Tribolium castaneum: one gene and its partners. The protein of the gene in region 1 binds, or shares a complex with, the protein of each later gene. Links are inferred from orthologs where the notes say so. Each region holds a gene or a part of one and is shown in the gene's direction. Other genes may lie near its edges.

Region 1 (11,783 bases):
CAAAATTTGTACGTCTTTAAGAAATAATATTTGATTATCGTATTTAGTTAGACGATAATATTTAATTAGAATACATTTTTTCACTCAGTTTGCACTAGTTTATCAAACACAAACAAAAACCCGCATAAATTGGTACTAAGATCTTGAGATATGAAGTCAGGACTTTTTAACAGAAAACTTAATCACAATACGTAATCATTTCGCCAGTTTCATCTGTAAATCTTTACACTTACACGCTTACTAAAAAATTGGCGCAGTCAGTAGGATTCGCAAAATTATTGCAAAATTTGTACGTCTTTAAGAAATAATATTTGATTATCTATTTAGTTAGACGATAATATTTAATTAGAATACATTTTTTCACTCAGTTTGCACTAGTTTATCAAACACAAACAAAAACCCGCATAAACTGGTACTAAGATCTTGAGATATGAAGTCAGGACTTTTTAACAGAAAACTTAATCACAATACGTAATCATTTCGCCAGTTTCATCTGTAAATCTTTACACTTACACGCTTACTAAAAAATTGGCGCAGTCAGTAGGATTCGCAAAATTATTGCAAAATTTGTACGTCTTTAAGAAATACTATTTGATTATCGTATTTAGTTAGACGATAATATTTAATTAGAATACATTTTTTCACTCAGTTTGCACTAGTTTATCAAACACAAACAAAAACCCGCATAAACTGGTACTAAGATCTTGAGATATGAAGTCAGGACTTTTTAACAGAAAACTTAATCACAATACGTAATCATTTCGCCAGTTTCATCTGTAAATCTTTACACTTACACGCTTACTAAAAAATTGGCGCAGTCAGTAGGATTCGCAAAATTACTGCAAAATTTGTACGTTTTTAAGAAATAATATTTGATTATCGTATTTAGTTAGACGATAATATTTAATTAGAATACATTTTTTCACTCAGTTTGCACTAGTTTATCAAACACAAACAAAAACCCGCATAAATTGGTACTAAGATCTTGAGATATGAAGTCAGGACTTTTTAACAGAAAACTTAATCACAATACGTAATCATTTCGCCAGTTTCATCTGTAAATCTTTACACTTACACGCTTACTAAAAAATTGGCGCAGTCAGTAGGATTCGCAAAATTATTGCAAAATTTGTACGTCTTTAAGAAATACTATTTGATTATCGTATTTAGTTAGACGATAATATTTAATTAGAATACATTTTTTCACTCAGTTTGCACTAGTTTATCAAACACAAACAAAAACCCGCATAAACTGGTACTAAGATCTTGAGATATGAAGTCAGGACTTTTTAACAGAAAACTTAATCACAATACGTAATCATTTCGCCAGTTTCATCTGTAAATCTTTACACTTACACGCTTACTAAAAAATTGGCGCAGTCAGTAGGATTCGCAAAATTACTGCAAAATTTGTACGTTTTTAAGAAATAATATTTGATTATCGTATTTAGTTAGACGATAATATTTAATTAGAATACATTTTTTCACTCAGTTTGCACTAGTTTATCAAACACAAACAAAAACCCGCATAAATTGGTACTAAGATCTTGGGATATGAATTCAGGACTTCGATGAAAATTATACAGTATTCAAAGAATTTTCATTCATTTTTTTATTCACTTCTCCGTTCCAGAAGCTCTCTTATTTGAAGTGTGTTTACTGAAGTAGTCTACAAGATCGAATTAGTTCAGAATTTAATGGCGTTTTTATTTTATTTTTCCCCAGACACAGCTAAAGATTCTGACTATTTCTTCAATACGTTTTTTAATTCATGTTTTTCCGTATGTAAATTATATTATTGGAAAACGAAACAGAGAAAACCTGACATTAGTTTTTATCGAATAGAGACACAAATGAACTTTACTGTAATTGTTATTAATTTTCCTGTGCACTTGACAATTTACTAATCGAATAATTTGCTCATCAAAGACCTTGGGTAATGAATTTATAATGTTTTAATGGTTTTGTCGCTAAAAAACGCAATTGCTAGACTGGAGTGAGAAGTAGTGAGAACAATGCACATTTGGTAGATTATCTCCTAAATGGAAATTAATAAAAAACTGTTTAAATAATTACAATTCGTATTTTTCCGATTGTCTCACTCATCCAAGACCTTCAACTGTAACCGAATATTTAGCATAAACTTTCGTTCTTCAATCTCCTCACGCACGAGAAAGCAAACTCCTTATCGAACCCATTTGAATAATAGGACACGTCCGTGTCCATTGCCGTTCCCTCGAACATCCCCCCGATAACATTCGAGCACCTGTTGTGCTGTTTGATAACAACACGTAGTGTAAATAAGTGATAAATTCGATTGAACGGTCGGGATTAGGATTGGACCGTCCAAGGCAAGCAAGAGTCGGCACTTGGAGGCCGAGGGGTTTACCTACCTGGAGGAAGCACCAGGACTCCCGCCGCATCACTCAACTCGCACTCACCGATAACGAAACAGCGGAAATTAGCAAAGTTGGGAGCGTGATTGTTACACGATGGAGGCAACATGTGATATGAAATGGTTTTTGGCGCGCCGGTCAAGTCCAATTAAACTTTGCGATGATGCACGACGGAGTCCCTGCCTCAAGGTGGACGTCTCGGGGATTCATTCATTTAAATAAAAGCGATAATGCGAGGTCGCAAACTCTCAATTGAGATAACAGCGGTTTTATCACCTTTTCTACTCATTAAAGTAAATTAATTCGAAGTTATTGCGATTATATTCTATTCAAATCGGTCTAAACATTCCTGTGTACTAAAAATAAGCGGCCTTCGCGTACCTAAATTATAATTGCTTATTAAATAAACTAACCGTCAAATCCAGCAGCGGACTGAGATTTTTGGTACTTTAATAAAGTGCGTTTTTTATATCGCTGAACATTCAATTATTTTACAACGAAACGACCAGTCTAGTCTTAATCTGTTAACACAATGCTGCAATTCAGTGGAAGTCAAGAAATAATCAATTTTGGCTTCGCTCGTATTTCGAAAACGCTACAAATAAAAAATGTAAGAAACAAAGTTGTAAAGAATTTAGTTTCATTCAAAAAATTTAAGAATCCAACTTGAGGCAGTTTATAAACACCAAAAAGTTTCTAAATCGCTGTTTGCTGGCGTAGTTTTCATTCGTAAAGTTGGCATTTTTTATTTTTTTGCAGTTTTCTGATTAATTTTGAATATTTTATTTTATTATACATTACAGCAAAAGATCCTCTGTAAAAATTTTAGAGACGAAATCAGTAAAATAACAGAAACATGGACAAATACCTACCGATAAGAATTTTGTAAAGTTTTTGTTTAGTTTAAAAACATTGTGATGTATATGTTGATATCGACTGCATATTTTCTGCACATTTTATGATTTTACTCAAAAAGGTACATTTTACAAAAAAAATTACAAGGGATAGAAAACTTTCTGAATGGTATGAGTTTTAAGTAAAACAAAAGTCATATTAATTTGTGCTGCAAAGTTATGAAGCAATTTTTGGCAAGGGGGCTCTCGTAGCCCGATTTAACAATGTTCTACAACCTTACAATTTGCACTATTAAATGATTATCTATAATAACGACTGTATACCAAATTTTATAAAAATTGGATAAGCAATTTTAAAGATAAAAACTATAATCTGTACTTCTGGGGTAACTTTTGCCCCCATAATTATGGAATTATTAGCCTAAATAATTCCATAATAAAACTTTTTAGAAGGACATACTACATTGTTACTTCTTTGACCAGAACATTTGGCGTCTTAAAAGTCAAGGTTGAATCTCACAAATCTAGCGGCTTTCTCAAAAGTAAACAATGAAAAAAGGCCCAAAACCCTGCAAAAAGCAAAGCCAAAAAAATTGGGCACATGAAAAAAACAGGGTAGTGCCCTACAAATTTAGTGTTTTCCCAATAATAAACATCCGAAAAAGAAAATTTTGATAATAATGCGTTCAAAGGAAAGAAATACATCCAAAACCCATTATTTTTGGCAATACTTCAACGAAAACGTAATTTTTTTTATCGAAATAAATCAACAAAATTTGAGGCACTTGAGGTGAGTTGTTGCCAATTTTACCAATAATTTTTTTATTTATAGGGAAGTATTAAAAAAAAGACGTTTAAAAAAAACAAGGTTTATTTATTGACTGCTTTCAAATTTAAACCAAGAGGAAAACAACCATTCACGGTATTCCCACTGAATTGTGAATGAGTCCAAAAATTCAAGTGATTGGTTTCTAACTTCATTATAATGGCTGACCATAAATTGACCAATCATATCCAAAACCACAATTTTCAATGAATCAAAAAATCCAAACTGATTGGTTTTTCTCCGTAATTTTAATGGCCGACCTCAAACGGCCCAATCAAAATGCTTACACATTTTACAACAGTCACTACGTGCCCTACGTTAATTCACAAAATGATGATTAATGAGTCTGTCTTTGTTTTTGTTGCATCTCACATCTTCAGTTTTTCTCTGAATTCTACCCCCCTAGGTAATGTTGGGCACAAAAATTGGGACAATGAGAGGAAATAAATAAGAAATATTGAATTGAAACGCTTTTATATTAATCAAAAAGATTCAACCAGTGAATTCTTGAATGACATGTTAAAAATCAAAGCGCATGCGCGCGCACTTTTTCAATTTGACAATTAACATTTAAAAAATCCAACAAAGAAGACGAAAAGTTCGAGGAAACTGTCCCACGTTATTAAAAGTACGGAAGGGGGTCATGGAGTAGGTAAATGTTGTTTTCAAAACGGCGCTGATGTTTTTTTGCAATAAGTGTTTGTGTCCACATTGGCGCTGGATGCTCCTAACATCAACAAATGAAGAAATCGTATCTAATATCCACTTCAGGGCAAAACACATGCAAAATTATTATTTGGTTTTGCTTTTGTGAGTATTTTTGACTTATGGTGATCAGGCCTTTCAAAAGGTGTTATCATTCAAAAAATTTTTGACGAGATTTGTAGATTGCAAACTCTTTTTGACTTATTTTTTAACATTCCATGTTTATCACTTTTGTGCCGCAGTAAATAAGTAAATACGGCACTACCTAAATCCAAATCAAACTACAACCCCTACACTCATATAACGTATTATTTATTTACAACTCAAATATTTTTACTTTTTTCCTCCCACTCTAGCCACCCCCCGGAATAATTCTTTATATCTTTGAACCCCAACTTCGTCGCAATCTCGGACGCAAGGGCACTACGTTTCCCCGAACGACACGAAAAAATTAAGGGGGTGCTAGAATCAGGTTTAGCCTTTTTGTAAGTTTTTTGAAATTGTTCAGAAGGCATGTCTTTTAACACTTTCTCGACTTCGCCAAGTGGAATATTGATGCTGTCAGGAATAACTCCGGTTTCCTGCAATTCGTGGGGCTCCCTGACATCGATTAGAAGAGTCTTAGGAGTCGTTTTTACTGACTTGACTTCATCAAATGAGGCGATTTGCGTTGCGAAAAGTCTAAGAAAGACGGGCGTTTTGTTCACAAGGGAGAGGATTTGGGGCCCCCTTGATAGCGACATTGGTAACCTAACCTAAAAAATAATTATGTAATTAACTTAATTGATTAGTTTTTGTAAAGTGAACTACCATAGCGCCAATAAAGCGATTTTTACTATTTTTTATCGCCTGTTTTATTAAATTACGACAGTTTTGGCAAAAATCAGTTTGGAGACTTTTTACAGTCACCGTTGGTATCACACAATTCACACAAAACAAATTAGAGGTCCCGTGGCTACAATCAAATTTTCCCCAATTATTTTTTTTTTCACGTTTTATGCCGATTGCGTTCGAATTACATAATAATTTCATAAATAATCGTCAAAAAACACCGCACTAGTAAAGTGCTAGTGCTTTAAATTTTGCCAGGTAGGCAGCGCTTGCCGCTCACATAACCTATGCACATAACCTAAGTTTTTGTGGTATCCAAACAGTTTTCGAAAAAATGGCAAACGCAAACACCGACTTAACCGAAGAAGACGCCGCTGACTTGCAGTTTCCCAAAGGTGAGCCCCCTTGTTTACTTCTCGTTCTCAACTGAGGTTTCAGACTGTGGCCCCCCTGCGTTTTACTCTAGTGACTCTGATAGTGTTTGTTCGAATTGTTCGTGCGATTTGGTCGCGCCTTACATTTATTGCGCTTTGTGTAAAGTGAATATTTGTTCGCTGTGTTTTTCGAAAGGTGCGGAGTTTGGGGGGCACAAGAACGATCACGATTATCACATAATCCGCGACGATTTTCCGGTTTGGGGTAACACGGACTGGACGGCTCGGGAGGAGGTGGTGTTGTTAGAGTCGTTACAAAAATACGGGAACTGGAATTTAGTGGCGAAAGAGTTCCCAAATCGGAGTGTGAGGGAGATTAGGGCGCACTACGATTGGTTTTATTTAGACAGAAAGGGGTCCAAAGACTTGCCCGAGGCGAGCAAAAGGGACTGGTTTTGTGAGCCGGTGGTGCCCTACAGACAGCGGATTAGCGACACCGATGAGCCCCCTCGCTACTCCCCCAACACAGTGGGGTACAAGTCTTTGGCCGGTTATAACCCCGCGAGGTCCGATTTCGAATGCGAGTTCGATTCGTCGGCTGAGGATCTGCTCTCGAACCTTAAACCGGTTGATAAGGACGATCCTCATTTTGACTTGATCACAAATCTTCAATGTGCGATCATTCAGAGTTATAACCGGCGGTTGAGGGAGCGCCAAAGGTGGAAAAAAATCATAAGAGAACACGGATTGATTATTCTGCGGAAAGTTTACGCTTGGCTTCATCGGTATGACGTTACGATTACACGTCCTGTGTATGAAAAACTGATCCGATTTATGCAATTTTGTACTCCTGTCCAGTTCGAAATGTTGATGGAGGGGTTACACCACAGCGGCGAACTCAAAATACAAATTCTTAGGTTCATATCAAACGGTTGAATTAATATAAAGTTGGTTATTTTCCATAATAGCGGCTTATTGAGTTCCAAAAAAACACGACGGAGAAAAAAATGTTCACTAAAGATTAATAAAAACAAAGAAAAATGTTAAAACATACTTCAACAGTTAGTGGCGTGACGAAAAATAATACAATTTGTATTTTGGAAAAAAAAACACTTGTAAAATTCGATGAAAAATTCTCAAACTCTTCAATATTCACGGAATTTTACAAAACATTGTGTTCAACTCGTAAGTTTTTTCCAGAAAGAATTCACTTTTTCTATCTCGTTGCACAAATAGCTATTTACAATGGAACCGTTTTGGTTTAAAAAAATCTCGCGAAAAAAGTTATATCACTCGCTAAATGCAGAATTAACATTTTTTTCAAACAAATCGGCGCTTCAACACTCGAAAAAGCAAATATAATGCTAATTTCGTTCTAATCGCAATTTTTTTGGCTTCTTTTTGAGCAAATGTTGCGAAATAAATGTGTTTTTATGGATGAACGTGGTAATAAATCTCATAAATAGTAAAATATTGTCATCTTCGAGCAGATTTTTTAAGCAAGTTTAGCAAAATTTCAGTAAAAATTGCGTTTTACCTTAAAAAAACGAGCTTTAAAATATGATAGTTAAGAATATAATTACATATATATTTAATTATTTTATTTATTTATATAATATATAATTGTTATTATTATTTATATTTTATTATATTAAATATAATTAAAAATATAATATAATAATAACAATTTGGTGATTACGTTTTTTGAAGAAATGCTAAACTTTCGAAAAAGGCAGAGTAATTAAATTAAATTTCTCGTTCAAAAAAGGAACTTAATTGAGCAAAGTAAACTAAAATAACCCCAATTTAGATTTAATTCTGTGAATTTCTAGCTAGAGAATTTTTAAACACTTTAATTTTTACCTTAAAACATGTATAAAGGCTCACAAAAAGCTGCAACATAGCATTAATTTTGGTCTTTAAAAATCTTCGGCTTGCAAAAGCAAAAGTTTTGACTTAATTTTGTGATTTTTTTGAGTAACATCTTTTTTTGATTGATTGACAAAACTCCTCATTTTTTGGCCAAGAAAAACGATCGACTTTTGTGTTATCTCCTCCTGGTTTATGCTTTTATGTCATTTTTAAACACAATTTAAAAAAAAATGCTAAAACACGTGAAATTGCAAAGTAATGTTTTTTGGCGAAATATCACAAAATAAGAATTTTCTAATTATGTTGTAATATTTTAGACGTGTTTTGGCAAGATTATCCAAACTAAATAAGTAGTAAATTTACCAATCCAAAGTAAACAACAACAATTTCGATTTAATTTGTGGATTTTCAGTTAGTTTTTGCAATTTTTTTTATTTTAAAACATGCCCAAAGATACGAAAACGACAACATTAACACAATTTTTGGTGTAATTGTAAGGTTAATAAAAATATATGAAAGAGAATTTTTAGCTAAAAACGAACTAAAAGGCTTTGAAGAATTTTTGACAGACAAAATTCTTCAAATAGCTGTAGCCTGACGAACAAGAAAAACGTTTGACTTAGTTTTGTGATATTATTGGTATTTCGTTCTAACAAAATCTTGCAAAAACGAAGTTACTTTACACATATTTCGGCAATTTTTTGAGAAATTTTTGCAAAGCTCGCAAAATAAATATTCTTTTATCTGGTTGAAAACCTTGGTTAAACATGAGACATAGCAAATAGTGCTACATTCGATCCAGTTCTCAATTTTGAAGAATTTTTTAAAATAAATAACTTTCTGGGAGAAAAACGTAGTAAAAAATTTAAAAAACAGGATAATAACATCGTTTTCGACTGAATTATGTGTTTTTTCAAGCACGTTTTCCTTCAGGAAAATTGCATTTTTTACCTCAAATTTATTTTCAACTGAAATACAAAAATTTAGCTATAAGTAATTTAGTGTTTTAATGACCACGGTTTTTGAAGAAATACTAAAACGAGACAAAAAATAATGAATTTCGATTTTTTTACGATCAAAATCTTGCGAACTAAATAAATCTCTAGTTCAAAAAGTGTAAAGACTATAATTTTACATTTAAAACATGCTTAAACAACTGGAAAGTCAACTATAACATCATTTAAAAAACGAGCTAAAGAAATTAAACAAGTAAACAAACAAAATAATATATTTTCGTTTTATGTTTACGACTTTTAAGTATGTTTTGACGAGATCTTGCCAAGCAAATAAATCTTTAAAAACGAACTAAACCAAGCAAAACAAGCTAAAATAACAAATTCGCTCTGATTTGGTATTTTTGTATGCGCAAACTTTTTAGGTCACTAATCAGTTAATTACCAAAGTGATTGCATGGTATGGATTCCATATCTATATGGGACATTGATTTTTTTGGAAAACATCAATAAGTCGCTTTTATGGAGATAAAAGCGCCCAATTTTATAGGGGGGTTTTGCAGATTGTGTGAATTACGTCAACGCGGAATAACGTCACTCGCCGACGCCCGACTTTACGTTAAATTGAAAGAAATTCACGACAAGTGCGAAAACGAACTGAAGACGCTCCACGCCAGCGCGCAGTTTAACTGGAAGTTGACCAACCGGAGCTTTCCGGTGGAAACTCCGAAGAAAAAATCCGGGTTTACTCCGATTGAAATCATCGGCATGCCCGGTTACGAAAAACTGACTCCTTCTGAGAGGGAGTTGTGCCGTACTGTACGACTGGTACCCATCACTTATCTCGAGCTCAAAGACATTCTTATAACTGAAAACAAGAAGATGGGTTCTATTAAACTCAAAACGGCGAGAAAAATACTCAAAATTGATGTGAATAAGACTAGGCGTTTGTACGATTTTTTAGTACAGGAGGGTTACATTGTCAAACCTGTGTCTTAGTTTTCTCAAATATACTTTCGGTTGTGAATGTTTGGTTTTATTTCTTCTTTACAGAGTTTGAGAATGCGGAAACTTTGCTCATTTCGGAAGTCCACATGTTGTTGGAGCACAGGAAGGCGCAGAACGAGTCGGCGGAAGATGAGCAAGAGTTTTCCGATGTTTTCATGAAGACTCTTACTTACACGGATAGGTTTAGGAAATTTAAAAATAAGGAAACGATCTCAGCCGTCAGAAAGTAATTTTTTCATTAAATTTTGGGTTTTTTATGTTTAATTGTTTGATAGTTTGTTGATGCAGAAAAAGTTGCACAAGTTCGAATTAGCAGCCATTGCTAATCTGTGTCCTGAAACCACTGAAGAGGCAAAGTCTTTGATTCCCAGCTTGGAAGGACGATTCGAAGACGAGGAGTTGCAAGCCGTCTTGGACGACATCCAAACTAAACGCAGTATACAATACTAGAAGTTTTTATAGTTGTAGAAAAAATACAGTTTGTAATTTGGGAGCATTTTTTTACTACAGGAGGCATAATTTCGTCATAATATGTATTTATATTGGGTTTTAATAAAAATTTGCTAATTTTTTGTGTTGTTTTTTTACCAAAAAAAACTACAAGATTTTTTTATGGGTGTATTATTTCTTCTTTTGTTTAAATTCGGAGAACTATTTAAACAAAAGACGAAAAAAAAGTAATACCGCAGAGTAAAAATGAGAGCGCGTTGAGCATCTCGGTGCAAAATTGTTTTAAATTATTTTAATTCAACCAGTTTTTAAACGTTTAGAACTTTTTTAGTCACGTCTTCAGATCAAAAAGTTTTTCTTCAAGATTTTATGAAACTAGAACGAAAAAAAATCACCAAATTTGATCAAAAATTTACCTTTAATCACAGGATTACGTCACAAATAACATTATTTTTTCAAGTTCTGAGGATTTGAACACGTTTTTGGACTAAAAATCAAGTTTTTCTTCTTGTTTTTATAAAACTAGAATGAAAAAAACCCAGATTTTGTCAAAAATGAGCAAAAATATACTTTTTCTAAGTGGTTATTTAGCAAAATCTCAATTATTTCGCAAAATTTATTAAAGAGTAAGTCAGTAATTCACAGGATTATGTCAAAAATGACATTGTTTTGCAAGTTCTGAAGATTTAAACACATTTTTAGATCAAACATTCATTCATTTTTTTTCCTGTTTTTATTAAACTGGAACCAAAAATTTACCTTTTGTAATCGTTCACTTAGCAAAAACTCAATTATTTCGCAAAATTTCTTAAACAGTAAGCCAAGAACTGACAGGATTATGTTAAAAATGGCATTATTTTTTAAAGTTCTGGGGATTTAAACACGTTTTTAGACCAAAAATCAGTTTTTTTTTTCTCCATTTTTATTAGACAAGAAAATTTTGTAGAACTTTGTAAAAGTGAAATAACCTAAAAAATTAAATAATTCTAGCTTTTTTTGGCTACTACTTGTACAAATGCTTTAACTATTAAAAGAAAAATATTGGAGGAATAAAGGTTTGACAATTTTTTAGGATTCGTTCAGTTTCTGACATTATTTAAAAAAAAGTATTATCTTCAAAGCAAAAATCAAAAAATGATTAATTCATTTTTATTAATCTTCCGGATTTTTATGTAAAAATTATAACACCAGAGCCTTATTAATTATTTTACATTATAAATATTTAATGCCGAAAAAAAGCTATTTAAATATGTCCAATTTTGTCGATTTTTTGAATTATTTTTGATGAAATGCGATAAGAAGGTCCTAAGTTTTTGACGAAAAATGATTTTTAAATTTAATAAAATTGTTTGCTTAAAAACTGCCTTTTTCATCTGAAAAACTCTAACAATTTAAGAATTGTTCTGTTACCAAACATTTTTTTAATAGTTATAAAAAATACAGTATTTAATTTGGGAGTAAATTTTGCGTTTTAATGAAAAACTGCTAATTCTTTGTGTTGTTTTTTTAATAAA
Region 2 (11,032 bases), on another chromosome or scaffold:
TTGTTCCCGCTGGAAGTTAGGTCCATCATGAGCGGGATTGTCATCTGCATAGCGCAGTGTTTTGTCTTCCTGTTTGTCAAAATCTACCCTGATATGATCGAACATTTGAATTTCAGCGGCACTTTGATGACTTTTTTGTTGGCAGCAGTGGTCGCGCTGTTTTTCTGTAAATTTGTGTTGCCCGAAACTAAGAACAAATCCTTGCAGGAGATTGAGGATTATTTCAAACGCAAGAAGGTTTTGGATGGGTTTGATAACCAAGGGTTTTGCCCGGAAGTGATAAAAAACGAGGGGATTTACACGGTGCAGATACAGACATGACGTAATTACTTTCAACTAGTTGGAAAAAACTTAGTTCTTATAGAACCGACGGTGATTGATTGTACAAACAACTATTTTTGTATTTAATTGATGAATAAAATTATTTATTTTTCGACTGTGTTTGATTGGTTGCCTACCACAATTAGCCACAAATATCTGGTTTTTAAGCCACAATACAAGCACAATTAAATTGCTCGTTTTTTTTACAAATTGTGCTAGTTTTTGTGTTCCGATTTTTCGGCAAAAAGGCCAGAAATTGATAATTCCAAACAACATGGCGCAACTCTAGCCACTTCTTCACCTAGTTAACCGTAGCCACTTCCCATTCATTCATCGTGAATATGTTTAAAACACGGAAAAAAGTGTTCCAGTGTTAGAAAAACGTGCAATTTTCGAAAAAGTTAGTAGATTTTGGCCCAATTAAGCGATACGTTTTTTACACGAATGAAATGCGTCAACTTTAAGTCGGTTATCTGATTGTTTTTTTTTGGAGGTTATGTTGTTCATTCACTTCTCAAATTTGAACGTTTTTTGCTCGTTTTTTCGGCAAATTTTGAGCCCCGGCTTTACGTTTAAGGTTTTAAGATGTAAAAAGTGAAGTGGGCCCCAAATGCAGTCAAGTTCTTCGACCATGGCGGGCATCGACCCCCATACGACTCAAATGAACCAGTTCAGGAGCTACGTCACGATGTTGGGGGACGCCAACTGTAAGGACGTCCTGAAACTGAAAGCCACGCAGGAAATTAGCAAAAATTTCGAGGTATTTGCGGTCAAAACCGTGAAAAAATGTCCCTGAAAGTGGGCTTTCAGATCATTCTTTCGTCGTCTCTCTATCAGAGTTTTTTGGACCACTCTGTGAAAATCTTCCTGAAAATACTACAAGAGGGCGATCCGCATTTTATCGCCGAGTATAACATACAGCAAGTGCGTAAATTAATTCTGGAGATGTTGTACAGACTGCCAACGAATGATCTTCTGAGACCTTATGTTAAGTCGATTTTGTCGCTCATGTTGCGCCTTTTGGAGATTGATAATGAGGAGAATGTTTTGATCTGTTTGAAGATTATCATCGAGTTGCATAAGCAGTATCGGCCGGCGTTTAATCCAGAAGTGATTTTTTTTTTTTAATTAATTTTGTTTGAGATTTAAGTGGTTTTTGTAGATACAACATTTTCTCCAATTTGTTAAGTCAATTTATTCGGATTTGCCCAATCATATGGACAAGATTTTTGAACCTAGGGCGCCAATTAAAGTCAATAATTTAAATGAGTTGAACATTGAGGAGTTACTTAAGGAGACGTTCACAATGACGACCATACAAACTGAGAAGAAGAATAAAGATGACACTTTAGTCACGGTATGTTTAATTTATTTTTTGCTGCAATAAAAATTTACAAATTCTTAAAAAAAACGCCGATTATGTGCTAACATTTATGTATTAAAGAATTTGAAACAATTTTTCTCTTTTAAAAAGGAGCTATATCGTCTGGAAATACCTAAATGCACCTTATTATAGCATTTGTCTCGTTTAAAGAAGTTGATTTTTAACGAATTTTTGTTAATAAAATCGTCTAAATTCCCAAAATTACGTTTATTTTGTGTTTTTTTTACTTGTTTTAATCTATTAAAATCACTGTTTTAAAAGTTTAAACATAGATTTTAGCGAGATTTTGTTAAATTCGGCCAGAAAACTACAAATTTATGTTGAATATGTTTTTTTTTGGGCAATTATAGTTGGAAATGTAGTAATTTTTTTTGGATGTTAAGGCATTTTTTTGAGATTGAGACGCAATTTTACTGAATCGGTTTGAAATTTCATTAATTTGGTTCGTAAATGTTATTATTTCGCCGATTTTTATTTAAATTTCGTCAAAAAATGATTCGAAAAATTTCAAATTTTGACATTTCTTGAGTATTTTTGAGTTTTTCGTTTTTTGTTTTGAACGAGATATCGTGGAATTTAAGCCACAAGGCCACAAATTAGGTAGTTTTTTTAATTTTTTGGTGCGTTTTTGAGTGTTTAAGTACATTTTGAGATTAAAACTAAGATTTTTCGACAGAAAAAAATGTTTCTCTTGACTGTGTAGAATTTTATTGAATTTTATGGTAAAGGCTATTCTAAAAAAAAAAAAAAATTACAAAAACAATACAGAAAATTACATAATTTGTATGAAATTGGTTTTTATGAGCTAAAAACTTGTATATAACATTAAGTTAGACTTGGTCTTTTTCTTTTGTTTAAAAGGGCCAAAAAGTGTGAACAATTAACAAAAACCAATTAGTTTTACATTTAAAATAATTAAAGTAACATATTTTATTAGAACAATTTTTTGGCGAATTTTGACTTTTTTCGGTGATTTTTTTTTCAATAACTGAGTTTCCGATGTAATATTGAGCTAAATAACTCACTCAGGATTGATTAAAATCATTTAATTTTATAGTACAAGTCAATGAAACATAAAAAATGTTGATGTATTTTTTTGTTATTTTATTTTATTTTTGTATTTTTTATTTATATCTTTTTTAAAGAGGCCAAGATAAGGTAAATAATTAAAAAAATAATGAATGACACGTTAAATGGACAGAAATAACATAATTGAGACTAATTTTGGCAATTTTTTTGATTTTTTTTTGGTGTTTTTTTTAATCAGTGAGTTTCTGTATTTAGAACTTAGAATTAGTTGAAATCTGGATAGTTTGCGAATAATGTAAACGAAAACGAGTAAATGAACGTAATTCTTTTTGTTATTTTATTACGTGTTCTTATAGATACTTTTTTAAATTATATTGACATTTTTATTCAAATAAACAGACAAAAAGTGGATAGTGAAAAAATTAATTAATCACATCAAAATTAGTTTCTTTACTAGCTGAAAGCTTGAAATTATATAATTTAGTCCAATGTTTTTAATTTTTTTCGGTAATTTTTTTAATAAGTGTGTTTTCGTATTTTAAAGGCAATTATTTTGAGAAACTTTGACTTATCTAAAGATTTTTTTATTAACCAAACAGTGCTTCTTACGATTGTAAATTAGTATTTTTAGATTGAATTGCACTATTTGTGTATAACATTAAGTTACTTATTAATTGTTGACGTTTTTTTTACTTTGTCTTTTTCTATATTGTTTTTTCTTTTATTTAAAATTGCCAAAAAGTGTGAACATTTAATTAATAATCTTTTTTAAAATAGTTAAAATATCATACTTGGACCACATTTTCGGCGTATTTTCGACTTTTTTCGGTGATCTATTTTTTATTTTATTTCATTTTTATATTTTTTATTTATTATATTTTTTAAGGAGGCCAAAATAAGATAAGCAATTAAACATCCAAGATATCTTGTATTTTTTCACGCGCTAAATGGGCAGAAATAAAATTTTAATCAAATTTGGCGATTTTTTTGAGTTTCTTTGGTCAAGTCAGGTCAAAACAAGTTGAATAATTAAAAAAAAAAAAACCAAAAAAAATAGTTTTTTGACGAATTAAATTGTCTGAAATAACATAATGATTTGTTCATAAGTTCTGTTCGAAGAAAATAATGTCCTAAAACATCTTTTTTTTGCCTTCAGTAATAATTGACTATGTGCCGTGGTAGAAAATTTGTTTAGTTTTTAAGCGATTTTTGCTTAAACGTCAACTTATTATGACTTTTTTCTCAATTTTCTCACTGGTTTTATAGTATCCATTCACCGGTATATATTTTTTCAGTATTACTTAATCCCTAAAGCCGTCCTCTCCCTCAAAGTCCTTCAGGAACTCCCAATAATCGTTGTCCTCATGTACCAACTGTACAAACAAAGCGTCCATCAGGACGTCAGTGACTTTATCCCTCTAATCATGAAAACAATCACCCTCCAACCCAGTCCCGAACAACGCCAAGCCCCAACTTTCAACAAAGAAATCTTCGTTGATTTTATGGGCGCTCAAGTGAAAACTCTATCATTCCTCGCCTACATCATCAAATTCTACCTCGAACACGTCCAAAGCCATTCCGCCATGATGGTCCAAGGCATGCTAGGACTCCTCATGCTATGTCCAATGGAAGTGGCTCATCTCAGACGCGAGTTACTCATTGCCGCTCGCCATATCCTAGCAACCGATCTCCGAAATCGATTCGTCCCCCACATGGAGAAGCTCTTCGATGAGGACGTCCTCCTTGGCCGCGGTTGGACGACGCATGAGTCGCTCCGCCCACTCGCCTACTCCACATTGGCCGATCTGGTGCATCACGTGCGCCAACAACTGCCACTCAGCGATTTAACACGCGCTGTTCATTTGTTCAGCAAAAACGTACATGATGACACGTTGGCAACGACTATACAAACCATGTCGTGTAAACTACTCTTGAATCTCGTCGACTGTATTCGGGCACGTTCGGAGGCCGAGAATAGCACCGAAGGTCGCGAGTTGCTAATGCGCATGCTTGAAGTTTTTGTCGTCAAATTTAAAACAATAGCTAAAATACAACTTCCGATTTTAACGGCAAAGTGCAAACAACAACAACAAAAAACACAAGTCGAGATTAAGACTGAAGATGGCGCTGCAAATCCGGCGGAAGTTCTGGAAAATGCGCTCGCGACGACGCAAAATCGCGCCGAACAAAAGGAGGAAAAGTCGAAATTTGGTTTTCCGCAAAATAATAATTACAACGTTGCTGATTATCATAGTCTTGTTAAGACTTTAGTGTGTGGGGTTAAAACTATAACGTGGGGCTGTTCGGCGTGTAAGTCGAGTTCGAGTCATAGTTTGGTGGCAACGAAACATTTTCAACCGCATGAAACGCTGGTTTTTGTCAGATTGGTTAAGTGGGCTTTGAAAGCGTTAGATATCTATACGTTGTATCCGGGACCTCAAGTGACAGGTCCCCAAAGGATTAACCAACAAAATGAAAGGAATAAGGAGGAGAAGGTGGTTTTGGAACATTTCAGTGGAGTGGTAACTTGATTGGTAAGTTTGCTTTTTTTGGGTTAATTTTTTCGGTTTTAGTTTTCGATGATGAATCCGCAAACGTTTCACGAGATTTTTTCAACGACTATTGAGTATTTGGTCGAGAGGGTTTACAAGAATCCGACTTTGCAAACGGTAAGTAAATTAATCTATCAAACTTTTGTTCTGTTTTCTATTGATTTTTTTATTTGCGATCACCAAATTTTCAGCTATGATGTTACTATACTCATTTTTTTTGCAATTCTTTATTTCAGTAAGGCTATTATTTTTGCTGAAGGTATTTATGGAAATACGTTTTTATGTAATATGTACAACTGTGATAATAAAAAATTGGAAAAGCAGAAATTATAAACTGATGGAACAAAACTGAAGAAAGTCTGAATAAACAAAACAAATAATGGAGTATAAGAAAACTAAAGAATGGAAAACTAAATCAAGTATCATGGAAATTAAAAAAGTAGAATTGCATATTTAAAGTCTAACAAAAAAACCAAGAACGAAATGAAGAATTGTAATCAAAATTATGAAATCAAAGAGAAAACTACTTAAACTAAATGAAAAAATACATAAATCGAGCAAGAAAATGTGAACAAATATGGATAGAAATAATCAAGCATCATGGATATAAAATAGTAGAATTGCATATTTAAAGTCTAACAAAAAAAATAAGAACTAAATGAAGAATTGTAATCAAAATTATGAAATCAAAGGGAAAACTACTTAAACTAAATGAAAAAATACATACATCGACCAAGAAAATGTGAACAAATATGGATAAAAATAATCAAGCATCATGGAAATTAAAAAAAGTAGAATTGCATATTTAAAGTCTAACAAAAAAAACAAGAACTAAATGAAGAATTGTAATCAAAATTATGAAATCAAAGGGAAAACTACTTAAACTAAATGAAAAAATACATACATCGACTAAGAAAATGTGAACAAATATGGATAAAAATACATATTTAGAATTAGAAAGGCAAAGGAACAAAGTCTTATGGATAAAACACTTTTTTCCACTTGGAAAATTGGGTAACAGAAACCTTGATAAATAAAAACTAGAAAAGTCTAAGGGAAAATTAAGAAACAAAATTAAACTCCGAATTCGAAAGACTACAAAAAATGTGATTGTGAGACAATCGTACTACTAAAAAGACGAATATTTTAATAAGTAAAAGAAAATATAATTAGGTATCAAAAATATATTGAAATAAGTCATCGGATATGTAATATCAATCTCAATAGAAATATAAAATCCAGGCAAAATAAGTAAAAAATAATAATTTGATAATGTAAATAAACTAAGAAGGCGATGATATAAGGAATGATGTAATGATAAAAAAATGTGTAAATACACAAGTGACTTGATAAGCAGATGCTGAACGGATAGAAATTATAAGGTGGAGAATAAAAAAGAAAATAAAATAAAATAAATAAATAAGTACATATGAGTTACTTAACAAGAATTTTGCCCGTTGAATTTTTTTTACGTTAATATCTATGCAATTTTATCCTAAAACCAAGATAAGAACCTGACTTGCCTTCCGATATTTCATAATATTGACTATCGTTGCTTAAAAATTACTGCATATAATCACAGAGTAAATTTTGTCCATGCTTTTTTTATGGAAATAGAGTAAATATTTGTGTGTGAAGAAGAAATGTTTAAAGTTCTGCTCTTAAATTTATTTTATTAAATTTTTCATTTTACAAGTTGTTTTCATAGTTGTTTCCTATGTAACATAGGATTTATACTAGATTTAAAAATAAGAAGACACTAAAAAAAGGCAGTTAATTGTATTATAATATGCATTGAAACAAGAAGTGGCATAATAACTATTTAAAAAAACCTTGTAGGTTCCGAACACTTTGCTTGCAAACCCGGCCACAAGCCCAATTTTCGCGACCGTTTTGGTCGAATATTTACTAGAACGAATGGAAGAGATGGGTTCAAATCTCGAACGTAGCAATCTCTATTTGAAACTCTTCAAATTAGTGTTTGGTAGCGTTTCGTTATTTCCACAAGAAAACGAGAACATGCTGCGTCCACATTTGCACCAAATCGTCAATAGGTGAGTGCGAGCGTAGCGAGTGCGTCAATTAACCAAACTATCTTAGATCAATGGAGTTGGCAATGAGTGCCAAAGAACCGTACAATTACTTCCTCCTTTTGCGCGCACTTTTCCGCTCAATCGGAGGCGGAAGCCACGATTTACTCTACCAGGAGTTCCTCCCGCTCTTGCCCAATCTTCTCGAAGGTTTAAACCGGCTACAGAGCGGTTTGCACAAACAACACATGAAGGATCTCTTCGTTGAGTTGTGTCTAACCGTTCCGGTTCGGTTAAGCTCACTCTTACCCTACCTACCTATGCTGATGGATCCGTTAGTGTCGGCTTTGAACGGTTCACACATTTTGATAAGTCAAGGCTTGCGCACGTTGGAATTGTGCGTCGATAACTTACAACATGATTTCTTGTACGAACATATCCAACCGGTCAGGGCCGACTTGATGCAGGCCTTGTGGCGGACTTTGCGTAACAATGACCAGGTGGCGCAAGTGGCCTTTAAGTAAGTCGGTGTTTAACATTTGGGGTGGTCTAATTGGCGTTTGTAGAGTTTTGGGTAAGTTTGGAGGTGGGAATCGGAAAATGATGATTGAACCGCAAAAACTGGACTATGTGTCGTCCGATTACGACCCACCAGCGATCATTGCCAAGTTTTATGATCAGGATAAGACGATTGAGTTTCCGGTGCAAAAGGTGAGTGGCCCCACGTTGGGCGCCACTTGGCCCCACGTTGTGCGCCACAAAATAACCCATTTTTTGGTACTTTCAGATAATCGAGACTGCGTTTAATGCACTTAAACAGAGCAACACTGATTCGTTCTACCGCAAACAAGCGTGGGAAGTTATCAATTATTACCTAACTGCGTCTCGTAATCTATCTGATGATAAAAATACGCTAATTAATCTGTTTCTTCACTCGACGTTCCAAGACCCTAAAACTATACCTCAAGTTAAGGGTTCGGTCTATAAGAGCATTTATAAACAAGCACGTGAGACACATCAGACCGCTCTCACCGGAATGTTTGTTGCTGCAGCTATTAAAGAATTGCGGCAACCAGTTGTTGCTTTGATGGTTGCTGTCGTCCGTCATTACACCATGGTGGCGGTGGCGCAACAATCGGGCGCGTTCGCTTGCACGCCGAAACATAACGAACAAGTGGCACTTGACCCACTTGTGTTGGTTGATGCTCTGGCAGTGATTATGGGACATGAGGAGAAGGAGTTGTGTAAGCCGGGTCACGTAGGCCTTGTTTTAATCCTCGATACGGCCTCTACACTGCTCGGAAGCAAGGAAATGGCCTGTCGTTTACCCTTGATTGAGTATTTATCCGAAAAAATGTGTGCCCTTTGCTACGAAAGAGCATGGTATGCAAAATTAGGCGGCTGTATAGCTATCAGTTTTATGTTCGAACGGTGTGCCCGTAAGTGGGTTTATGAACACATGTTTACGTTCTTGAAAGCGTTACTGTTCGTTATGATGGATTTGACGGGTGAGGTGTCCAGTGGCGCCCTCGATATGGCCAAGAATAATCTGGAGAAGATGTTGAATGTTTGTGTGACGGAACCACCGAAAGGTGCCGATCAGGAAACGCGTGACTTGCAAAAGAAGGCGCTGCATGAGGTCACACATGAATTGGTGCGTCAAGTCACCAGTCCCCATACTATGGTGAGGGAACAATCGATGCACTCGTTGCGTCTCTTGGCCGAAAAACAAAACAAATCGGTCACTTCGGTCATGGAACCGTTCAAAGAAGTGCTAGCAGATATGGTACCACCTACCAAACATCTACTCAAACACCAACCGGCCATTGCCCAGATGGGCTTAATGGACGGCAACCAGTTCTGTACCACCTTGAACCCCCGACTGTTCACAATCGATCTATCAATCAAAGAACACAACTTGTTCATCCTCGACCTCCTCTCACTGTGTAACAGCGAAGACGTCAAACTGAACACGTTCAGTTGCTACAAAAACATCACCAATTTCATACCGTTGAGGAAATCAGCATTGCGCGTCCTCGCCGCCTGTCATTACCTCGAAGAAGTGCGCGAGCAAATTTTCCAAGTGTTGTACAAAGCCCTCGAAAAGCCCAACGCCGAGCTACAACAAACCGCATTCGAATGTATGCGTGATTTCATCGCTGGATATCAAGTCAACAAGGACTTGGTCTACCAAACCATTAAACCCTTCCTACTCACGCTAGGCGATGCCAAAAATCTGACCCTTAACGGCGTCAAAATGCTATCATATTTGACACAACTATTCCCGTTGAATTTCAACGAGAGTTTGTGTGAGCAACTGTTGGAATTGCTCAAACAACTACTCGAAAACTTGACAAATAGCCACAAAGGTGAGTGGTGATCATTTGGTGACTGGCCCCACGTTGGGCGCCACTTTGTACAATGGTTATAGAGTGGCGCCCAACGTGGGGCGTGCATTATTTTGAAATCAATTAATTATGTAGTGTCCACCGGTGTGTCGAAGAAAGGCGACGAGGAGCAAAAAATCGTCACAATCATCGGGATATTTCACCAAACGCCGGCCGCCTCCTCGAAGTTTATAAATCAGTTGTGCCAACTTATTCTCCAAACGGAGCAGGCCATGCTGATCGAGGCCAGCTCTCCCTTCCGGGAGGTTCTAATGAAGTTTTTGTTGCGTTATCCCGGTGATACGCTCGATATGTTCCTCGATGATACCTACGTTAAGGATAAACAGTTTAGTCGGTATCTTGAGTTTTTGATTAAGCATAAGGAGGGGAAGAGTTTTCGTGACTATATACAAACCAGTATGGTTAAGAGATTGATTCAGATGGCGCTGGCCAACGTCCACGTTAATTACACTCTGAGTGAGCAGGAACGTAACGAATTGCAATATCAGAGTATTAGGATTATATCCTTGTTGATAAAAAGTGACGATCAGTGGTTGTCCGAACAACAGGAGTTGGTGGAGGCGTTGAAACAGATTTGGTGTGATGATGCGTATCAGGAGCGGCATAAAAGTGTCGATAACTTGGAGTATCCTCATTGGAAGGAACCCAAACTTTTGGTCAAGATTCTCTTGCATTATTTCTGCTACCATCCGAATAACGTTGATTTGTTGTTCCAACTGTTGAGGTGTTTGTGCCACCGCTTCATACCCGAGTTTCAGGTAAGCATAATCATTTAACTACTGAATTGTTATTATAAAAGTATTAATGACCACGGCTTAAAACCGTAATTTTTTTTCCAGTTTTTGAAAGACTTCCTCGCCAATACAGTCGCCCAAAACTATACTGTTGAATGGAAACGCTCGGCGTTTTTCCGCTTCGTTAAGCTTTTCCCGACTAACTCTATGTCCCAAGAACTGAAATCAAAAGTGTTACAATTTATTCTGATCCCTTGTTTCGCCGTCAGTTTCGAAAAGGGCGAAACGAACAAACTAGTCGGGGGTCCCCCCATGCCCTACCAGGACAGTCCCGATAACGTGGTGTCCGTTTTTATCAACAAACTCATCGATCCTGATAATCCCTTCCCCACAGCCGACTGTGTCCGAATCGCGCTGTTACAATTCTCGTGTCTGCTCGTTGAACAAGCGAGTCCACACATCCACGACCATAATAAGACGCAAAGTTCGAAACTGCGTCGTTTGATGACGTTCGCGTGGCCGTGTTTGCTGGTTGAGAATTGTTTCGACCCAGCGACACGTTACCACGGCCACC
Region 3 (9,890 bases), about 9.9 Mb from region 1:
AAGACGTTTTTTAAAAATAAAATTATGGCTTTTTAGTTGTCGGAACAATGTTAAAAAAATTTATCTTGTCCAGCTCCGCAAATGCACTGTTGCAGTTTTCGCCCCATTTCACCCCGAAATCGGTTTTGTCACACAATGCCCTTTTGACCACCAATTCAACAATAAAAAAGACGTTTTTTAAAAATAAAATTATGGCCTTTTAGTTGTCGGAACAATGTTAAAAATTGTTATGTTGCCCAGCTCCGCAAATGCACTATTGCAGTTTTCGCCCCATTTCACCCCGAAATCGGTTTTGTCACACAATGCCCTTTTGACCACTAATTCAACAATAAAAAAGACGTTTTTTAAAAATAAAATTATGGCTTTTTAGTTGTCGGAACAATGTTAAAAAAATTTATCTTGTCCAGCTCCGCAAATGCACTGTTGCAGTTTTCGCCCCATTTCACCCCGAAATCGGTTTTGTCACACAATGCCCTTTTGACCACCAATTCAACAATAAAAAAGACGTTTTTTAAAAATAAAATTATGGCCTTTTAGTTGTCGGAACAATGTTAAAAATTGTTATGTTTTCCAGCTCCGCAAATGCATTATTGCAGTTTTCGCCCCATTTCACCCCGAAATCGGTTTTGTCACACAATGCCCTTTTGACCACTAATTCAACAATAAAAAAGACGTTTTTTAAAAATAAAATTATGGCCTTTTAGTTGTCGGAACAATGTTAAAAATTGTTATGTTGCCCAGCTCCGCAAATGCACTGTTGCAGTTTTCGCCCCATTTCACCCCAAAATCGGTTTTGTCACACAATGCCCTTTTGACCACCAATTCAACAATAAAAAAGACGTTTTTTAAAAATAAAATTATGGCCTTTTAGTTGTCGGAACAATGTTAAAAATTGTTATGTTTTCCAGCTCCGCAAATGCATTATTGCAGTTTTCGCCCCATTTCACCCCGAAATCGGTTTTGTCACACAATGCCCTTTTGACCACCAATTCAACAATAAAAAAGACGTTTTTTAAAAATAAAATTATGGCTTTTTAGTTGTCGGAACAATGTTAAAAAAATTTATCTTGTCCAGCTCCGCAAATGCATTATTGCAGTTTTCGCCCAATTTTTTATTTCACAGAATTTTTTGATAGTTGATAGCGATCGTCAGGATGGACCCATATGCAACGATACTTAAAAAAATATATCCGAAATTGAATTAAAATCGGAAATAAATCAGGCTGAATTACCGGGCCTGCTAACAGATTATCATTTATACTCAATTTATTAGAGCTTTACATGAACAGTCAGTCAGACTACAATCAACTTGGTACTATCACTGTTTTCATTAATTATAATTACACAACTGTGTGATAAGTGAAAAGAATTTTCGGTAGAATCGTTTACTACGAGTTCCATATGTCCCAATTTTAAATAATTTTTCATGAACGAAATGTACGTACCCCTCATTTAGTTTATGATCCCTAGCTCTCCTTTTCTCCACCGACAACAAACGGTTTAAAGCTATTTTGGGCATCAGGCGGCGTTTGCTTAAAAGGACCATAAACCATAAACCATAAACCGCCCATCTGGGAATCTCCCATGTGTTTTGTTAAAATGTTTTTCACAAGAATTCTGTGAAGGGTGTTCAGTAAATTATCATTTATTGCATCTTTATTTTCTATTTCCCAAAATCGGACAATATTATCACCAAAACAGGCGAGTTATGATAACAGGCGTGCATAAATTGGGCACTATTGAATCCCCAAATACCGGGCACCCTCTCTTTACGTGTTCGAGTCCTAGAAATTCGGCACTGCATCTTATCAGGTCAAAACGGATTATTACCTGATCACCCCTTTTCGGACATCACAGAAAAAAAAGACGAAAAAGACAACTTTATCAAAAAAAATTTATTAAAGGTGTGAACATCTAAAAACAAGTTATTTTGTTTTCTTGTAATACAAATTTACGTAGTTTGTGCCATTCTGATACAATGTACCTAGATGGTACTTGAACTTCCGCAGTGGATAACAACACATTTCAGCTGAAAACCAAATTACACTGACAGAATATTTTTAGTGGATGCAGCATTCTATTCATTAATTTCATGGGTATTGTCTACTGAAGTATTATCAAAGTGCAGGAGAGTATGATCCTGTTTTATGCAATGTTTACAGCTCGATACGTTTACATATTTTATACAAATGATTTTGGTTTAAGCAATTAGTCCACCAGTTCAAAGCTTTTATCATCTCGTATCGCTTTCGCGCAATTATCTTTAAAAAATCGGGGCAACTCTACAAATTATGTGACTTTGAACAAATAGGACATGACATTGATTGTCTGTTACACATTTACTACACATTTTTAGTGTAATATTCCCGTTTATATGATCAGTACTTTATATTATTAGATATTTTTTTCGATAAATAGCTCTATTAGTATTGTACGAGTAGGTATCAGCACTGAAATATTTTCTGGGTGTTATCAGCACTGAAATATTTTCTGGGTGTTATCAGCACTGAACTACTTTTTCGGTGTTCGCTACACTGAAAAGTGTTCTGGGTGTTTTTTGGACCGGATGATAAAGTGCATAATTTTGAGAATTATGAAAAAACTCTAAATTCTAATATTAAAAAGATGTTTCTTTGATCCTTGATGTCTGTAATGGTTTAACATGTAACAAAGATGGTTGTAACGAATACAAGGTATGTTGAAATAAACGCAATAAACTTCCAATTATAAATATAATGTTTTTGTTTTACAGCATTTATGTTCCACTTCGGATTAATTCAATCGACAGCCAGGCTCTAAAGGTTTACCACGAAAAATGAGAAAAAACAAAAGTGGTTATCACGAATACAAGGTATTCGTATGTTGAAATAAACTCAATAAATTTCCAATTATAAATACAATCTTTTTGTTTTACAGTATTTATGTTCCACTTCGGATTAACTCAATCGACAGCCAGGCTCTAAAGGTTTACCACGAAAAATGAGAAAAAACAAAAGTGGTTATCACGTATACAAGGTACTTGTATGTTGAAATAAACTCAATAAATTTCCAATTATAAATACAATCTTTTTGTTTTACAGTATTTATGTTCCACTTCGGATTAACTCAATCGACAGCCAGGCTCTAAAGGTTTACCACGAAAAATGAGAAAAAACAAAAGTGGTTATCACGAATACAAGGTACTCGTATGTTGAAATAAACTCAATAAATTTCCAATTATAAATACAATCTTTTTGTTTTACAGTATTTATGTTCCACTCCGAATCAACTCAACCGATAGTCAGTAATTCGACAACTTCAAGTTCTCCAAGATTCTCGAAGTTTAATCGTCTTAAATTTGGTGCAAATTTTTAAATTTGTTGTTAAAGCTATAATTTCGTTATTCAGAAATAGTATTTAGTAGTCCTTATCCTCTAAGATATAATTAGTCTATTGTGTTTGTATATCTTGTGGTAACTGATATCTATTGAAAAGAAACCCGAATTTATTCGAACAAATTTTTACCCGCACATTATAACTTTATATTTAATTATGATTATGTTTTTTTGATATTCGCTATTCCGCTTGTAAGATTCGAAAAAAGTTTTCTGCAAAAAATCTAAGCACAGTTGTTTTCTGTCCTAAGATCTTACCTGGTCGGCAGAGACAGCCAGTCTTTTATGTTTTATTGAAAGGGCGCATGAGTCTTAACACTTTTACAAAAACCGTCATAATTTCACAGATAAGGTTTATGAAGGTTGCATAATCTTAGAAGGTAAGGTTTACTAATTACTACACTATTTTTGTTTTGAAAGAAGGCGTTGTGTAAAACATTCTGTATTTATGTTTAAATTTGAAAGGAAATGTGCAATATAAGTTTGTTACTTGATTTGTTACTTTATTTAATTGGATAGTAAATTTTGTGTTGTAGTCGACAATACTTAAAAAATATAGTTTTACTTGGATTATAATTGCTTTAAATTTTTCTTTTAAGAAAGACGTAATTGTTGGATGAATATTATAAATATTACAAATAAGTAACTAAATAAGGGCTAATATTCACAGTTTGTAGAAAACACAAAAAAGACAATTTCTTAGTATTAACGGCCTCTTGGACACTAAAATTAAAAACAATAAAGAGAAAGAAATTAACTGTGTCTGTACAAAATCAAAATTGGGTCATTTATTATGCACAAAAAATATAAAAGGGCATTGTGTGACAAAACCGATTTCGGGGTGAAATGGGGCGAAAACTGCAATAATGCATTTGCGGAGCTGGAAAACATAACAATTTTTAACATTGTTCCGACAACTAAAAGGCCATAATTTTATTTTTAAAAAACGTCTTTTTTATTGTTGAATTGGTGGTCAAAAGGGCATTGTGTGACAAAACCGATTTCGGGGTGAAATGGGGCGAAAACTGCAACAGTGCATTTGCGGAGCTGGACAAGATAAATTTTTTTAACATTGTTCCGACAACTAAAAAGCCATAATTTTATTTTTAAAAAACGTCTTTTTTATTGTTGAATTGGTGGTCAAAAGGGCATTGTGTGACAAAACCGATTTCGGGGTGAAATGGGGCGAAAACTGCAATAATGCATTTGCGGAGCTGGAAAACATAACAATTTTTAACATTGTTCCGACAACTAAAAGGCCATAATTTTATTTTTAAAAAACGTCTTTTTTATTGTTGAATTGGTGGTCAAAAGGGCATTATGTGACAAAACCGATTTCGGGGTGAAATGGGGCGAAAACTGCAATAATGCATTTGCGGAGCTGGAAAACATAACAATTTTTAACATTGTTCCGACAACTAAAAGGCCATAATTTTATTTTTAAAAAACGTCTTTTTTATTGTTGAATTGGTGGTCAAAAGGGCATTATGTGACAAAACCGATTTCGGGGTGAAATGGGGCGAAAACTGCAATAGTGCATTTGCGGAGCTGGAAAACATAACAATTTTTAACATTGTTCCGACAACTAAAAGGCCATAATTTTATTTTTAAAAAACGTCTTTTTTATTGTTGAATTGGTGGTCAAAAGGGCATTGTGTGACAAAACCGATTTCGGGGTGAAATGGGGCGAAAACTGCAATAGTGCATTTGCGGAGCTGGAAAACATAACAATTTTTAACATTGTTCCGACAACTAAAAGGCCATAATTTTATTTTTAAAAAACGTCTTTTTTATTGTTGAATTGGTGGTCAAAAGGGCATTGTGTGACAAAACCGATTTCGGGGTGAAATGGGGCGAAAACTGCAATAATGCATTTGCGGAGCTGGAAAACATAACAATTTTTAACATTGTTCCGACAACTAAAAGGCCATAATTTTATTTTTAAAAAACGTCTTTTTTATTGTTGAATTGGTGGTCAAAAGGGCATTATGTGACAAAACCGATTTCGGGGTGAAATGGGGCGAAAACTGCAATAATGCATTTGCGGAGCTGGAAAACATAACAATTTTTAACATTGTTCCGACAACTAAAAGGCCATAATTTTATTTTTAAAAAACGTCTTTTTTATTGTTGAATTGGTGGTCAAAAGGGCATTATGTGACAAAACCGATTTCGGGGTGAAATGGGGCGAAAACTGCAATAGTGCATTTGCGGAGCTGGAAAACATAACAATTTTTAACATTGTTCCGACAACTAAAAGGCCATAATTTTATTTTTAAAAAACGTCTTTTTTATTGTTGAATTGGTGGTCAAAAGGGCATTGTGTGACAAAACCGATTTCGGGGTGAAATGGGGCGAAAACTGCAACAGTGCATTTGCGGAGCTGGGCAACATAACAATTTTTAACATTGTTCCGACAACTAAAAGGCCATAATTTTATTTTTAAAAAACGTCTTTTTTATTGTTGAATTAGTGGTCAAAAGGGCATTGTGTGACAAAACCGATTTCGGGGTGAAATGGGGCGAAAACTACAATAATGCATTTGCGGAGCCATAAATATTGAAATTAGGTGAAAAAGTGGGAAAAATTAAAAAGCAATTTGTGGTAAATAATTGAGTTTTTCGCTATTAGCATAGTGACTTTCTTAAAATGTCATTTTTAAGAGGGTGTTTAGTGTTTTTTCGGATTTTTATTTTATTAAACGGTTTCAAAGCTGACAACCAAACATACATCTAAGCAAACTGAAACTTATTTTGCTAGTCTGAAACTGGCTTCATGTTCGGGTCTCTTCGGAAATTCGAGGAGCTGGTTTTGGGAGCTGTCTTCACACAAATGACGATCTGTCATTTCGCGGACTCTAACAGCATTATCCTTGACATGTCAAATTGTTCCAGCTGTCCCTATTTGAGGTTAAATATCTCTTTTTTGTTGATAAATATAACAATTTACAATGTCTAATCAAAATAATGCTGGTGGTTTAACAAATACCGAAGACGATGAGCTGACTTTGCCTCGGGCTAGCATTAACAAAATGATAAAGGAGTTAGTCCCATCAGTTCGAGTTGCAAATGAAGCAAGGGAATTAATCCTCAACTGTTGTACGGAATTTATCCATTTGCTTAGTTCTGAAGCGAACGAAATATGTAATCGATTGGACAAAAAGACTATAAATGCGGAACACGTTTTGATGGGTATGTTTCATCATTGTTAAACAACACAAAAGTAAAGTTTTTCGCAGCTTTAGAAAAGTTGGGTTTTGGAGATTATCAAACCGAAGCTGAAGCTGTTCTTAAGGACTGTAAGGCTGTTGCAGCGAAACGCAGGCGACAGAGCACAAGGTTAGAAAATTTGGGAATACCAGAAGAGGAGTTGTTGAGACAACAGCAGGAGTTGTTCGCCAAGGCTAGGCAAGAGCAGGCTTTTGTGGAGCAACAGCAATGGGAGCAACTACAAGCTGCGGCACAAGCCCAAGCTTCGGCTCTACCAAACAATGATGATGATTACGAATGATTTATTAAACGCTTTAAATATTTTGTTATTGTTTTCATTTATTTTTTAATATCTTAGATTTAGGCTTTGTATCAACCACAAACATTCAATAAATAGTGACCCAACGTTTTTTACAAGAAAATTATTCATCTGCAATCTTATGCGTACGAAGTCTAAACAGGATAAAATAACCAATTTCCTAACGCTGAAAAACACTCATTATTACAGTCTTGGTAATGTAGTCCCTGTAAATAATTAAGTAATAAAAATAATTATTAAATAAATGGAAAAAAAACCTTTAAAACTAAGCGCCAACTAAGTGCCAACGTAACATGTTTGCCATGTTTTGATCTTGGCAACACTTTTTTCATTGAAATATCCCCAAGATAATGTCATTTTCTAATAGAAAAAAAGTTATTTAATTTCCATTTAGCACGTAACCGCAGAACAATTTTTATATTTAATACAAAAATAGTTTTTTTGATAAGCAAACTAGAGATACAAAAAGGCGCAAAGCTGCCGTACATTGAGGTTATGTGAATGAACTCGTGTAAGTAAATTCTCCAGATTTTTTCATCATTATCGCAAATAGTGCGCTTACCCAAGCATGATATTTTAGAATGTTGAAAAAAAAGTAAATAAGCAATAAATAATCTTTGAAAAAAGTGCACGATGTCGAGTAGCGAAGTTGGTGTTGAAAAAAATGAAAACGCTGAAACCAAGCCCCCAACACCCAAAAAACGAGGAAGGAAAAGAAAATCAGAAATTACTGTGAGACAGTTTGAGGAGGAAATTGATACAAGTCCAAAGGAAGAAACTGTATCAAGAAGGGGACGCCTACGTAAAAAAGTGAACTATTACGAATTAGCTAATCCAGATAATCTGGAATATACACTACCTGTCCAAACGGAAATCAACTATTTTAGTACCAGCGGAAACGGGGAAATAAAAATTAAGAAAAAAAAAGTTAGGCACCAAGAACCAGATTTTTCCGAAACTTCTGCTGACAGTAAAGAATCAGCGAAGCAGAAAGATGAAGACAATGTTTTAAGTAATAATGAGCCGCAAAAGGGTGAGTTATTCAAATTAGTTATCACAGCGTAATAAAAAATGCGTTAGATTTATTTAAATCAACGAATGGCAAAGAAGATGATAGTTTGCTTCAAGACTTGGTTCTTGAGGACTCTACCACAGATTTTGAGGCAACCACAAGCACTCCGAACTCTAAGGACAAAAGATACAATTACACAGGCGAGACTGTGAAAATGATGAATAAACTGTTCAGTTTATTTGCAAACACTAGTGATGATAACAGTACAAATAATACCAGCAATGGTAACAATTTACCAAACAGTGGTAAAAGGTAGGTGGTTGTGACTGGAATATTAAAATTTAAGGTTCAAATCACTCAAAAAATTATCAAAAATTCGAATTTTTTTTTGTTAATTAAATCACTCCGTTTATTAAACTTAAAAAAAAATAAAAATTAATAACAGGTCAGGCAAGAGACAACGAAAAGATAACATGAAAGAGGAAGACTTGGATGACGGCACTGGCAACGTCACGTGTGCAATTTGCAACAGCACATTTGACAAAAATATATGGACCCACCATAAGCAGAGATATCATAATAATTTAGCGTGGAGGGTTGGAGACCCACCTTTAGTGAGTCACCTAAATGTTAGTGACTAAAAGTTAACGAAATGTTTAAGGACTTAAACGACCAATCTTTTGTAATGCACACTCTCAACTCGTTGTACAAGAAAAAGAAACCTTTATATTGTGATAAATGCGGGGAAGTAAAAAAATCAGTAGTTGGGTTTTTATCTCACCGCTCCCAATGTTTAAAATCGGGAGAACAGCTCGAATCTGTTAAAATTTCTTGCGACTTGTGCGGGAGGAGAATGCTACCAGTGAGTCTAACAACTCACATGAAAATGATACACCAGAATCCGGACAAGGAGGAGGTTCCGGAAAAAACGACAAATAACGCGGCAAAACCGCTTCCTTCCAAAAGAAGTGCGGCTAAAAAGTACAATTACAGTAAAAATCCGAATTTATTTATTATTTGACTGTTTCAGAGCAATGAGAATTATTGAAAACGTTACGAAAGTTGATAATAAGGTGAAATGGTTTAGAGACGTGTAAGTTTTTAATTTTTTCTTTCAGGACCAGTATTTTTCAGCAAATTTAGATCTAGGTTCACAACAATTTGCAAAAGACTTGATGCAGAAAGAGCTAGACGAGACACAATTTATAGAATGTAAATTCAAGTGTAATTGTATTACAACAAGCATGGAAGATGCCTTGAGTCATTTGAACGAATGTCCGGAAAAATTTAGTGAAGTACGTTTTGTGTTGTTCCGTCCTGAATTAATTACTTTTTTCAGGGTTTTGTTTGCAAGCAATGTTTGCTGATTTCGTCCAAATTGGAAGACATTATTTATCACATTGAATTTGCTCATGAAATTAATGTAACAGTTGATGGCGACCCCAGTTATGTGGACAAAGAATCCAACAGTAAGTATAGCACAGGTGTTTCCCATTAAGTGTTCAAATATTTAAATAAATTACGGGAGCCCCAGATCAGGTAACATTATTTTAAAACTCAAAAAAAATGTGTGTTTAAATGAAATTGAAAAAAAGTAGTATGTATACAAAAAAAAAATAAGGTTTGAAGTTTGAAAACATTTTTCGACAAAACTGTTGAAAACAATAAAAAAAACTAAAAGAAAATTAATAAATAATACATTTACAAGGTGAGTGCTTAAAGTTTATTGTACGTAATTTTATTAATCGTATAATTTGGAAAACTTGTTTGCTGCGCTCACTCGTTTTGGCAAACATTATGTTCGCAAAACAACAGACTCGCCTTGAATTGTAACTGATTGCTAAAACATCCCGTATACTTGAAGAAAAAACAGGGGATTCCTATTAATTTTGAATATTTGAATGTTCTTTAAATGTACCGAGTTAAATTTAAAATACGTTTTTAGAAATGCCCTCATTTTTGCAAAGCACGGTGCG

What was found.
Region 2: transcriptional adapter 2-alpha (region 1) and Nipped-A share a complex: the UniProt entries of both Homo sapiens proteins name them as parts of the PCAF complex. The link is inferred for Tribolium castaneum from reciprocal best matches to the Homo sapiens genes TADA2A and TRRAP.
Region 3: transcriptional adapter 2-alpha (region 1) and NC2beta share a complex: the UniProt entries of both Homo sapiens proteins name them as parts of the ADA2A-containing complex. The link is inferred for Tribolium castaneum from reciprocal best matches to the Homo sapiens genes TADA2A and DR1.

What each region holds. Positions count from the first base shown.
Region 1 is NC_087398.1:11,841,404-11,853,186, reverse strand, and holds transcriptional adapter 2-alpha, read left to right. Parts: upstream 1-5,865; 5' UTR 5,866-5,946; coding exon 5,947-6,007; intron 6,008-6,050; coding exon 6,051-6,903; intron 6,904-9,374; coding exon 9,375-9,810; 3' UTR 9,811-9,838; downstream 9,839-11,783. Other genes in the region: rhodanese domain-containing protein CG4456, read right to left, coding at 5,105-5,536, 5,592-5,594. UniProt on the Homo sapiens protein: Component of the ATAC complex, a complex with histone acetyltransferase activity on histones H3 and H4. Required for the function of some acidic activation domains, which activate transcription from a distant site. Binds double-stranded DNA.
Region 2 is NC_087401.1:16,691,685-16,702,716, reverse strand, and holds the start of Nipped-A (transcription-associated protein 1), read left to right. Parts: upstream 1-593; 5' UTR 594-721; intron 722-898; 5' UTR 899-931; coding exon 932-1,081; intron 1,082-1,131; coding exon 1,132-1,431; intron 1,432-1,483; coding exon 1,484-1,678; intron 1,679-4,029; coding exon 4,030-5,256; intron 5,257-5,307; coding exon 5,308-5,403; intron 5,404-7,125; coding exon 7,126-7,340; intron 7,341-7,386; coding exon 7,387-7,836; intron 7,837-7,882; coding exon 7,883-8,027; intron 8,028-8,103; coding exon 8,104-9,685; intron 9,686-9,799; coding exon 9,800-10,482; intron 10,483-10,563; coding exon 10,564-11,032. Other genes in the region: facilitated trehalose transporter Tret1, read left to right, coding at 1-321. UniProt on the Homo sapiens protein: Adapter protein, which is found in various multiprotein chromatin complexes with histone acetyltransferase activity (HAT), which gives a specific tag for epigenetic transcription activation.
Region 3 is NC_087398.1:1,907,824-1,917,713, reverse strand, and holds NC2beta (protein Dr1), read left to right. Parts: upstream 1-6,205; 5' UTR 6,206-6,324; coding exon 6,325-6,565; intron 6,566-6,612; coding exon 6,613-6,884; 3' UTR 6,885-6,907; downstream 6,908-9,890. Other genes in the region: uncharacterized protein LOC103313276, read left to right, coding at 7,536-7,935, 7,983-8,226, 8,360-8,528, 8,576-8,895, 8,945-8,987, 9,033-9,209, 9,254-9,383, 9,860-9,890. UniProt on the Homo sapiens protein: The association of the DR1/DRAP1 heterodimer with TBP results in a functional repression of both activated and basal transcription of class II genes.